Linked DNA regions of Astyanax mexicanus. The protein of the gene in region 3 interacts with the protein of the main gene of each other region in a pairwise test. Links are inferred from orthologs where the notes say so. Each region holds a gene or a part of one and is shown on either strand. Other genes may lie near its edges. The genes, in order: abhd16a, map1lc3a and retreg3.

Region 1 (3,758 bases), on a different chromosome or scaffold from region 3:
CAAAAATCGTCAGTGCGCCTTTAAATCCAGTCAGGTTAAAAGGAGCAGTAAAGCCACTCTGCAGAAGTACAATGTTTCACAGGAGTTTCAGTGAAGTTTCTCCAGCACCGAGACTGGAGCAGTATTAGCATTAGCCGCTAACCACGCTAAGCAGTAGCTCTTTCACCATTCAGGGGTCAGTATTCTCAGCCTGTAGCCTGCTGCTAACCCCGGTAAACACTGCTGGAGCAGCATTAGCCTAAGAACTTGCTCATTAAGCGCTAGCTCTTTCGCCGTTCAGAGTTGAGTATATCGGACTGTAGCCTGCGTGTTTACCAGGTTAAAACAAGCTACATGGTACAAACCCCTAGCTAATATCACCCTGGGTAACTGGAACAGTAAGGGTTCCTCATAAACTATTACTATGTCCTGCAAAATCTGTCTAGGACTCAAAAGGTTTAGCTGTAAAGATGCTGTAAAACATGCATTGGAACATAATCCTCCAGACTACGAACCACAATGTAGCGCATGGCAAAAATAATTATGACTAATTAACGAATCGAAACAATAATTGGTAGATTTGTCGCCTACTAAAATAAGCCTCAGTAGCAGCCTTAGTATCATCATCATCACGTTGCTCACTTCTAGTTGTTAGCTATATTAGCCTAGCCTATATTAACTAGCTTGTTAACTTGAGCTGGATTACTGCTATACTAGTAGCTGTTAGTAGTGTTTACCTTTCCTGTACAGATAGCAGAGGATGAGAGGAGAGCTGTAATAAGACAGGGACCACAGTGCTGAGGCCTGAAGGGACAAAAAAAAAAAACATTAACATATAAGTGATAGAAGCACACTGTTAATTTTGGAACATTTTTAATAAACAAATCTGATCTGAAATCATATCAGAATTGAACAGAGGTATCAATTAACCAAGTAAAAACAGTTAATTACCTTACTTAAGTAGAAATGTTGGTTATCTATGCTTTACTGGAGTAATTATTCTTTAGACGACTTTTTACTTCTACTTCTACTCCTCACACAATTATGTGAACTCTTTTACTTCTTACATTTTAAACATACATTCCAAAACACATTCCGAAACATATCCAGGCCTGAAAATTTCTATTTTGAAATTCCATGAGTTTTTCAGCTCTTTCATGACTGTACTAATTAGGGGTGTGCCATATCGTATCGTACGTGATAATATTGCCAAAAAATTTTAAATATCGTCAACGATATTATACCCTGAAATATCATGCCATATCACTTACCCCCAAATTATCGCGTCAGAGTACTACTTTTTTGCCATTTTTAGCAAAAGAAAAATTCACACTGTTCTCATTTCCCATTATATATCTACTAGAGACAGATTATATCTGTCTAGTATAATTTATTTTACTTAAATCCTGGATATATGAAGATATTCAAAGTGCCTTACTAGTATTATGACATTGTTACAAATGTGATTTTTTTTTATTTTTAATATCTCAGTTAGCCATACCATATTGCATGCAATAATACAATTCTAAATATTTTTTCTAATTCAATGTTTTGTCATATCGCCAAAAGTACTGTTATCGTGAAAATACCATGAAATATTGTGATATTAATTTAGAGCCATATCGCCCACCCCTAGTCCCAATATACCAAAAGAAACCAGTATAGTTTGGTTATTACACCATACTGTACTTTAATTTTATGCTTTTGTTTTATTTATTTTTTTTTTTATATAATGTTACATGGCATGTCTACATCTAACACAATGAGATGTACAAGTGGGTCATATATATATATATATATATATATATATATATATATATATATATATATATATATATATATATATATATGGCAGCTTATAGTCTTACTAGATTCTTGTTGTAAACTTAATAAACAGTGTTTTATGCTTCCTTGCTCTAAAACATCCAATTATCAAAAGTCAAAACAATATTATCAAAAGTTAAAAAAAGATTATTAAAAGTCAAAACAAACATTTTGGTTATATTAATTGTATATATCCACAGGGGCTCTCAATCTTTCAAAAAATACAATTAAAGCCATGGAGGGTAAAGCTTTAAGATTTTAAGAGTAAGTAAGAAAGGACTTACCCAACCGAGGATACTGTCTGTGTGTCTTTCCAAAGTTTTCGGCTGATAATCCCAACCCTGTAAAGGTGACAGTGATTTTAATGCACAGAATAAAAACAGCAAAACAGCCACTTTCCCCTATTACTCGAACTATCCGTTCCACCTTAAATGGCACTCTTGTTACATTCTGGCGCCTCAGGATGATAACGCTACAGCAGGAGCATTTAAGGTGGAACGCGAGATTAAAAATAAGACTTGGGAATATGCTGAAAATCTATCTAAAACATAAACTACAGCTATCAGAGAGGTCTCAGATTTCCCTTTTATAATCCTAACTGATAGTTAAGACTCTCAAAACCTAATTTCAGTGATTAATTTGTGTACATTTACAGTTATTCTGACAGACTGACATTAGCTAGTTAGCTAACTACAGTGCTAGCTAAGGTTAGCCTGTCAACTCAAAGCCCTGCACTTCCCTAGCGGCTCTTAACGAGCCCAAACCCCGAGTTTTAGCCCGTTTTGCGGGCTGTTAAGAAGGGGATCAGCTCGTACCCGCCTCCCGGCTCTTCCCTCAGGTCGGGGCTGCTCGAGCGGGCGGTGGATCCGGTGCAGGCTGGGCCCGAACAGGCAGCGGAACCACAACCAGCCGGCCATCCTTCCTCGGTCGACGGCTACGGAAGCCGGAGTGGGTGAACTGAGCTAATTCAAAACATTCAAAACTGTAAATATAAAACTGTGATGTGTACATTAAATTCTATTCAATTCTACAGTTATATATGCTATATATTAATATATATGCACAAATACTGCAGGTGGTAAGAGGCTATACCTTATTAAACTCCTGTTTAAACATCTGTAAAAAATTAACATCTTATTTCTGACAATTTTATATAAGGACAAACAATGTTTTTTAAAAAGTTATTTTAAATGTAAAAAAAAATTAATTAATCCACTACATAAGCAATGTGCAATATTTAAGGTGATAGCTGCATAAATTGTTTTTTAACACATTATAATGCTTATGCATTATAATCTAAGTCTTTCATTATTATTATTAATATTCCCCATTTGAAAAACATGGAAAATTAAGCGTTCAGCAACATTTCAAACTAGTGATCACCTTTTTTGAGCTACAAACACTGCAGTTTGATCATTTATGCTTTTAATGCTTTTAATGTAAAAAAAAATCTAGTACATACACAAATTGCAATATTTGAGGCAATAATAGTTTCATAATTTTGAAAAAAGTCAAACACACACACACACACATTAAGGATGCAGATAAGTGCAGATGCAGATAAGTGGCAGTGCAATAATGCAATGATGCTTATTTGCTTTTAAGAAGCCTTCTCTTTGGAAAAATTCTCATTATTTTAAGATAATTTTTTTAGATGCTTAAAAGTTATTTTAGACATTTTATTATCTTTAAAATAACTTTGAGGTGTTTTCACAATAGTTATCTCTTTTATTCTTCGTATTTCAACTTATTTGTCAAATGTTTGTAGGCAGAAATTAATATATGTGCATGAATCACTATATGTGTGAAATGCATTAGAAAAAAAAAAGAAAATAAAAATAAAAATATATATATATTTGTAAAGTATTTATAAAATACATTTGAAAATTTTTAATTAAAGTAATGCATTTGCGTTATACTTAAAAAAATAATAATAAATATATATATATATTTTT
Region 2 (3,758 bases), on a different chromosome or scaffold from region 3:
CTCTAAATGTAAAGACATATAAATAGAGGTGTTTACTTTGTATATAGTGCCCTACATAGGGCATAAAACAGAGGTATTTACTCTTAATGTTGAGCACTATTTAGGACATACAATTTAAATATGTACTCAATATATAGCGCTCAACATAGGACATGAAATAGAGGAATTTACTCCTAATGTAAAGAAATATATAAGGCATGAGAAGTTTATTCTGTATATAGTGTTCTATATTGAGCAAGAAATAGAGAGATTAATTCATAACGTAAAGAAATATATAGGGATAAATTAGAGGTATTTATTCTGTTTAAAGAGCTCTACATTGGCCTTAAAATAGAAGTATTTACTCTAAATGTAGAGCCCTATTTAGGGTTAGGATTAATTATTAATGTAAAGAAATATACAAGGCATGAAATAGAGGGGTTTACTCTCTATATAGTGCTCTAAAAAGTAATGAAATCATTTAAATAGACTTTTTAGGATTAAGTTTAAGCACCTAACCTAACATAGGTTATATTTTTATCTAGCTAACCTACTTAGTGCACTGGGTCCCCCTTAAGAAATCAGGTATTTAGGATCAATTTAGTTCGCTAAAAGCTTAAATAATAATTTATCATGTAGTTAACTAATTAAGTTATCCTAAAACACACATATAAAGGTTAGTTCTAATATAGCTTTAACCTACAGCTCAATAAAAACAGTAAAGTGCCGTTTTGGGCAAGTTAATGCTAAGCTAATGCTAAGCTAACGCTATAGCTACGTGTTGAGGTAAAGTAAATAAGGGCCTCAGCGGATTCATCGCGTAAAATGCACGATACTGAAGACCAGATACTAAAAATAAAGACATTTATGAGACTAAATTAAGTCAGACAACACGTTTGTTCACTTTAAGTTAGCTAAAACAGCAAAACTTGGCTTATCTTGCTAGCTAGGTTAGCTAGTTTGTCAGGTTAAAAGCTAACGTTAGCTTGGCTAAGCTAAAAGGCCTCTAGCCACCAGGTTTTAATAACTTTAATAACTTCTATTTTTATGCTACAGTGGACAATATAACTCTATAATACGCACATTTTCGTCTCCTCTGTGTACTGGGGATAGCTTAATGTCTTTCTAGATTTTTTAACCATACTGTTATAACGCTATCTCCCTTAGTATTGATAAATTATCGGTATGTTTGCACATACAGCTCTGTAAAAATCGCTATTTATTGGTTTATGTTTGAGTAAAATGAACATTGTTGTTTTATTCTATAAACTACAGACAACATTTCTCCCAAATTCCTAAATAAATTACATTTATTTCCCTGCAATGTGCTTTAACGTGACCCATAATAAGGAGAATTATGGCTGGCCAAAATATACATAGAGTTTTTCTTCTGCAAATACAGCTCTAAAAAAAAAAAAAAAAAACAAGAGACCACTTAAAAAATTATGAGTTTCTTTGATTTTACCAAATTAACCTCTGGAATATAATCAAGAGAAAGATGGATGATCACAAGCCATCAAACCACCAAACTGAACTGCTTGAATATTTTTTTGCACCAGGAGTAAAGCAGTATAAAGTTATCCAAAAGCAGTGTGTAAGACTGGTGGAGGAGGAGAACATGATTCCAAGATGCATGAAATTAAAACTGTGAATTAAGCTTTATGAATATGAACTAGTTTTCTTTGCATTATTTGTACTGCCATTTCCCTTTTTTTGCAATACATAATAAATGTTATAAATGACAATAATGATAATAATGTTGTCTGTAGTTTATAGAATAAAACAACAATGTTCATTTTACTCAAACATAAAGCTATAAATAGCAAAATCAGAGAAACTGATTCAGAAACTGAAGTGCTCTCTTCATTGCTTCCAGAGCTGTAACGTTATATTATATAATAGGACATGAGCTAAACTAAACCGTAGAGACTCTATTTTAGATAAAACAAGTAAGTACTAAAAGTAGATATAAACACACCGGCTGAAACTTGAGACGTTAATAGGCTAGCCATGTATATTATTTAGTAACGTTAGTTACAACATTATAACTATCATTGGCTTTATGTTTATTAACGTAACGGTTAAATCTCTCACTGTTCAGATTATCAGACTAACCAAAACAACACAGTCTGATAAACATTAAAACACATTAAACAGCTTCTACCCGCTTATATATAAACTCACCGAAGCTCCGCCGCTGTTTGAAAGGTCTATCAGAAGGCATAATTGTAGTTTAAGATGAATAAAATAACAATAATAATCTGTAGTTTTATTCCTCTCTGTTTTTATTATTGTTCTGATCCTCGTCAGCAACTCCGAGCCAGAGGCGATAAAGACATGCGCAGAACGCCACGGAGTTTTAAAGGGAACAGCGCCAAAGAGCCTGAACAGCCGAGAACTCCCACTCCAGAATGGGTTCGGATTGATGGATGGATGGATGGATAGATACGTTCACATTACCAGTTTGAAGTGACTCCAATCAAATTTTTTTCATGGCTGTGTGAACGTGCCAAATCTAGATTTATGCCAATCAGATCTGAGCTTTAAAAATTGGCTTGGAAAAGCAAGGGGGAGAGGCAGCAGATAGATTTACTTTTGCAGTTTTTTAGCTGTTTATAAACTTCTTTTTTTTTTACGTTATTAGCATGCTTTTTCAAGCCGAGACTTAACACTTATTCATTAACAAAATTTCACCCCTTTTTAAGAGAGCGGTAAGCAGAGAGGCATCAGACATTTCCCAATTGAAATCCATTCAAAAGTGTCTGTAAACTTTTGTCAGAAATGTAAACTACTCTAAAAGAAACAGTTATTTTTAGCTAGAAACGTGATAATCTGTATACTTGTTGTACTGTAAGCTTCAGTGTTAGTTCTAGCCGAAAACTCCTGTGCTAGTCACTCGTATCTTAATCAATCACCAGCTTCTGCCTTCCTGGTAGAACTTGCACTTTTCCAAGCAAGCTTGTAAAAGTCTGTTCACATACTTTCTCTCCTAGTTCTAATTTGAGTATTTAGCCGTTTAGCTCCTTTTACCCTCATTCATTAAAGACTCCCTCACGTGCTTCCTCTAGCGTTTTTTTAGTAGATGCTTTCTGCTATAAAGGAGATGACCGGAAGTAGCCAGTCTCTGCATGAACCAGCTGTGGCAGCACAGTCCTGCTTTTTTTTTTCAGGAGGATACAAAATAAAAGCAGCCGTGTCAAAAATATGAAACTGCCCAATAAAATATATATATATATAAAAATACAAATAAACGTAAATGTAAAATAAAAATCTAATAAAACTACATTTGTATACAATATTGTATTTTTACAATATGCAATAGTGTATATGTGTTAAATACCAACACCATCACAGATTTTTTTAAATCTGGTAAAAGTCCTGTTAAATGTTCTGGTACATGTAAGTTCTGTGTTATTCCCACATAAACATAGCACATAAAGTTATAAATTTCATGTTTTGGTAGATTATTTATTTGTTGCTTCCTGGTAATACATCTTACACTGTTGGAAGTCAGTTAATTACTCTTTTAAATGGACCCTGTGCAATCCATCTTAATGAGTTTCAGTTACATTGGCCACAATTGTCCTTCTTCCTTCAGCCGCAAGACACAATTCATACAGGCTTTACTGCATTTTACATCCTATTAAACTAATGGGTAATGCACGTTAGCCGTGTTAATCCACTTTACTTGTAAATTAACGATAACTCCAGCATGAACAAGTAACGGATTAGAAAACACAATTTGTTTATCCAAAATTTTAGAAACGCTAGTAAATAAT
Region 3 (3,758 bases):
AAACAAGACCTTTGCTCCAACAGGTTCTTCCAACTGGAGAGCTCTAATACATGGAAAATTAAAACTGCAGTATTCCATTGGTCTTTTCAAACCAGCTGAACTGATGCCTCAGCCTTCCAGCAGCCTCTTACTTTTCCAGCAGCTCACTTGAACCTTTACTGCTGGCCTAAATATAGGTGCCATCTGTCTCTTTAACACAGAAGCTGAAAAGCAGACACATTCACACACTCATGCTAACAGATAAATCAAGGGAGGGTAAAAATGTTAATGGTGAGATGTGCCAAATTAGACAGTTAAGTAGAACATGCCATCAGCAAAGAGGATAAACAAGGCAGTTCAACCACCTATGGATACATGTTTTCCTGAAGCAATGTTCACTTTAGATGGTTTCTATCTGTTTGGGGTCTTGTGTTTGGTTCCAAAGCTCATCCATAATGTGACTCAGACAGTTGTTATTTTCACTGTGCCAAAAGTTCATTATAAACGGGCATGAACGTGCTTCAAAAAGCTATTTATCCAGAATCTAACCTATGAAACATACACTTGTATTTATAGTGACCATGACCTTAAAGAAACAGTTAAATGTTCAGGTTTCCCTGCCACTTTTTTTGACATAATGTGAATCTGTGTTATTATTATTATTGTGTCAAAATTGCATTATGAATAATACAATTTTTACATTCTCTTTTAATGACCAACATCTCACCCATGGGGAAAGTCTGGTGGTCTGGTGGTGTACGTGCATTGTCTTACCATGAAAGGTATGAAAGGTATGGACATGGTTTTCAGTGTTAATAAGTCAGTGGCAATACACCACGTCATCAGCATAGATATATTCGCAAGCATCTTTACTATTTAATGACAAAGGTGCAGGGTGAAACATAGCAATGAGCACTGGACACATCTTGCACAGGATGTAAAATAGGGCCCTATAACTTAAAAACTAGAAAAAAATATTTAAAACTAGTTTAATTTTAAAATCAATGGATTTTAAATTAGCAAAGCTAGTGTTGTCTAATTGAAGTCACTTAGTCCTTTTCCAGCATACAATAAATACATCGGTGCAAAGTATTAGCTTGAAATATTGGCAAAAGAAAATAAAACATTGGCAGACACTAATATAATTCCTATATCAAAGTGAAAATATCTTTAAATATTGAGATATTTGACCAAGCTTTTGAGCTCTCTCAGTGCATGATAGAACATTTTATACTGTTTACATCAATATTGGAACTGTACAAAGTATCCTTTGAAATTAAGAAAAATATCACAATATAGATTTTTTCCATATGGTCCAGCCCTAAACCAAACAGTCTAGTGTTGTCTTAGTTATGCTACCCATTGATCCATGCTTCCTAAAGGCACTGGGTATGTGCTGACTTTTTTTTTTATAATAAATCTTTTTTCTCTATTTTTTTTTGTGCGTTATACAACCTGCACTCACTGTTATTGCATATAATTGCTAATGAAAATCAATAATAGTAATAATAAATACAATAAAAAATATATAAAATTAGTTTGATATGACCCCTCACATCCATAACTTTACCATGATTTAAGCACTCCAAAAATTTTCTACTTAAATCTACTTAAATTTGTACTGATAACATGCTCTAATATGGTGCTTCTTTTGTATTTTTAAAGTTATATATATACATTAGGGTAGCACGGTTTGACAAGGTAGCATAACTCGACAGAACACCGGCTCTCCAAAATAGTCACACCTGATTAGTCCTTTAATTTTAATTGGCCACCTCTGGTATCGACGATCACTGTTTAGCTAGAAGCGTTTCTGAACCTACACGTTGACAGCGATGCTAGCTAGCTAGCTAACACAGTAGCTACACTGTTAGCTAGCCAGATAACGTAAGCTTACATGTAGATATTTTTCCATTTATTGACATTAAACTGGTAATGGACGAGCTTCAAAGAGCTAATTTACTAGATATACACAACTAGTTTAATAGTTATACACAAAATAACATACCCAGTGTGTAAGTTAGCTAACATACATTTGTATCTATAGTGACCATAATATTAACAACATGGGTAAATAAGTTAGCCTAGCTAGTTATTTAGGTAACAAACATACCTGGTCAACTAACTCAGTGTTACTGTATTAATAGGTTAGCTAAAACTCACCAGAACACAACGTTGACCAAAGTGTGGAACAGCACACTGTGGAAAGGTCTCTCCCACACCAGCACCGCCTGCATGTAGGTCACCAGCCGCTCATACGGTCCCAGTCTCTCCAGCAGCATGGCTTTCACAGCCCGAACCTGACCGTCCCTCTCTCCCGACCGATGCCGACTCCGGAGGCCCGAACTTGGGCAGCGCTTTCCTGTGGCCCCGCTAGCATCCCCAGCTCCACTGTTCTGCGCCATAGTTGGCTAGCTACGTTCAAGAACTACGCCAAAAATAATGATACTAATAATGTAAACAAAGGGTGGGGTCCTTATACATAAAAAAATGAATAAATATAGATAAAACTCTCTCCAACGTTAACTTGGTAGTTAGCTAGCTGTTAGCGCTGCTTAGCGTAGCTAGCTTAGCTCAGAGCTAAGCCTACAGTAGCTACAGCTCAACTGGGTGAAACGCTGTCTCGATTCCTCTGAACATTTGAGCTTAAATATCTCCCTGAATTCAGTCTGTTTTAAAAGAAGCGGCTGTAAACTCCATGTGCAGAGGGTAATGTCTTATTTTTCCGCCGTCATTTCTCCATTTCTCTGACAGTTGTTGTTTGTCTTCCAGCCGAAGGGACGGAGAAGGAGGACGGGCTACAGCTGCAGCCAATGAAAGAGCAGGATTAACGTCTACAGTAGTGTTGTGTCGTTTGCGAACGAATCATTTGACTGGAAAGACTCATTTACTGAATAGAATCACTCCCTCAGCTGATTCGTTCCTTTCTTAGTTCAGTAGTTGAGCTCAGCAGCGACCGTGCAGGCGGGCAGGGTAACTGCTGTGTGATCTGTGAATCAGTGATTCACCCGCAAATCTGGTGGCGGAGATACTATCATTGAGAGGGAACGGTGCTTTCATTGTGATGAGTTCAATGAACGTAGGGGGGGAGGGGGGGGCGGAGGTGGTTGGAGCACATGCCCGTTTGGCTCCTACTGCCAAAAGTGTCCTTTGGTCTTTTTTTTTTTTTTGTAAGTGTATGTGTGTCATACCCGTTTGACCTGGAAACATACCGCCGTCTTCAAGTATATTCCTGTACATATTTATATTTGAAAAAATTATAAATTAATGATTAAGTATTAATTGGAAGCCAGGCCACTGACTGCTATGTAAATGTGAAACGTCTTAACGCCAATGATGGAGTCGGCAGAAGGATAAAGTACCGCCTTCAGTAGAAACATCCAATCAGCTTGCTGGTTTTACGGGTGAGAGTGTGAGTGGGTCCCACCTTCCTGTGACTTTAGGCAGCGTGTTGCAGCAGCAGCAGCTCATGTTTAAAACTAATATGGATATACAACGATTTTTCTAAGAGGAAGGTAACGGAGCAAACCATGTAAACTGTGATTAGATTGTTTCTGATAGCTGGTTAAAAAGATACGAATCAAAACACACAGAACAAACCTACTGTGTGTTTAATAAAATGCAGCTGGTGTCTAGTGAGATAGATTAACATTGGAATTAGCTAGCTTATATAGGTAGTCAAGGTTTGAGGGAAAAAAATTATGTAATGTTTAACTTGCCCTGATGAGTATGGAAGCCCATTCCCGCCACCTAAAAAAAATAAATAATCCAGCAAAATG

What was found.
Region 1: the proteins of retreg3 (region 3) and abhd16a interact in binary tests that used the Homo sapiens proteins (3 or more experiments, as listed by UniProt). The link is inferred for Astyanax mexicanus from reciprocal best matches to the Homo sapiens genes RETREG3 and ABHD16A.
Region 2: the proteins of retreg3 (region 3) and map1lc3a interact in binary tests that used the Homo sapiens proteins (3 or more experiments, as listed by UniProt). The link is inferred for Astyanax mexicanus from reciprocal best matches to the Homo sapiens genes RETREG3 and MAP1LC3A.

Annotation. Positions count from the first base shown.
Region 1 is NC_064413.1:5,137,217-5,140,974, forward strand, and holds the start of abhd16a (phosphatidylserine lipase ABHD16A), read right to left. Parts: upstream 2,760-3,758; 5' UTR 2,721-2,759; coding exon 2,619-2,720; intron 2,145-2,618; coding exon 2,088-2,144; intron 784-2,087; coding exon 717-783; intron 1-716. UniProt on the Homo sapiens protein: Phosphatidylserine (PS) lipase that mediates the hydrolysis of phosphatidylserine to generate lysophosphatidylserine (LPS). LPS constitutes a class of signaling lipids that regulates immunological and neurological processes.
Region 2 is NC_064431.1:33,920,481-33,924,238, forward strand, and holds the start of map1lc3a (microtubule-associated proteins 1A/1B light chain 3A), read right to left. Parts: upstream 2,331-3,758; 5' UTR 2,204-2,330; coding exon 2,164-2,203; intron 1-2,163. UniProt on the Homo sapiens protein: Ubiquitin-like modifier involved in formation of autophagosomal vacuoles (autophagosomes). While LC3s are involved in elongation of the phagophore membrane, the GABARAP/GATE-16 subfamily is essential for a later stage in autophagosome maturation.
Region 3 is NC_064426.1:23,157,103-23,160,860, reverse strand, and holds the start of retreg3 (reticulophagy regulator 3), read right to left. Parts: upstream 2,943-3,758; 5' UTR 2,385-2,942; coding exon 2,143-2,384; intron 1-2,142. UniProt on the Homo sapiens protein: Endoplasmic reticulum (ER)-anchored autophagy regulator which exists in an inactive state under basal conditions but is activated following cellular stress.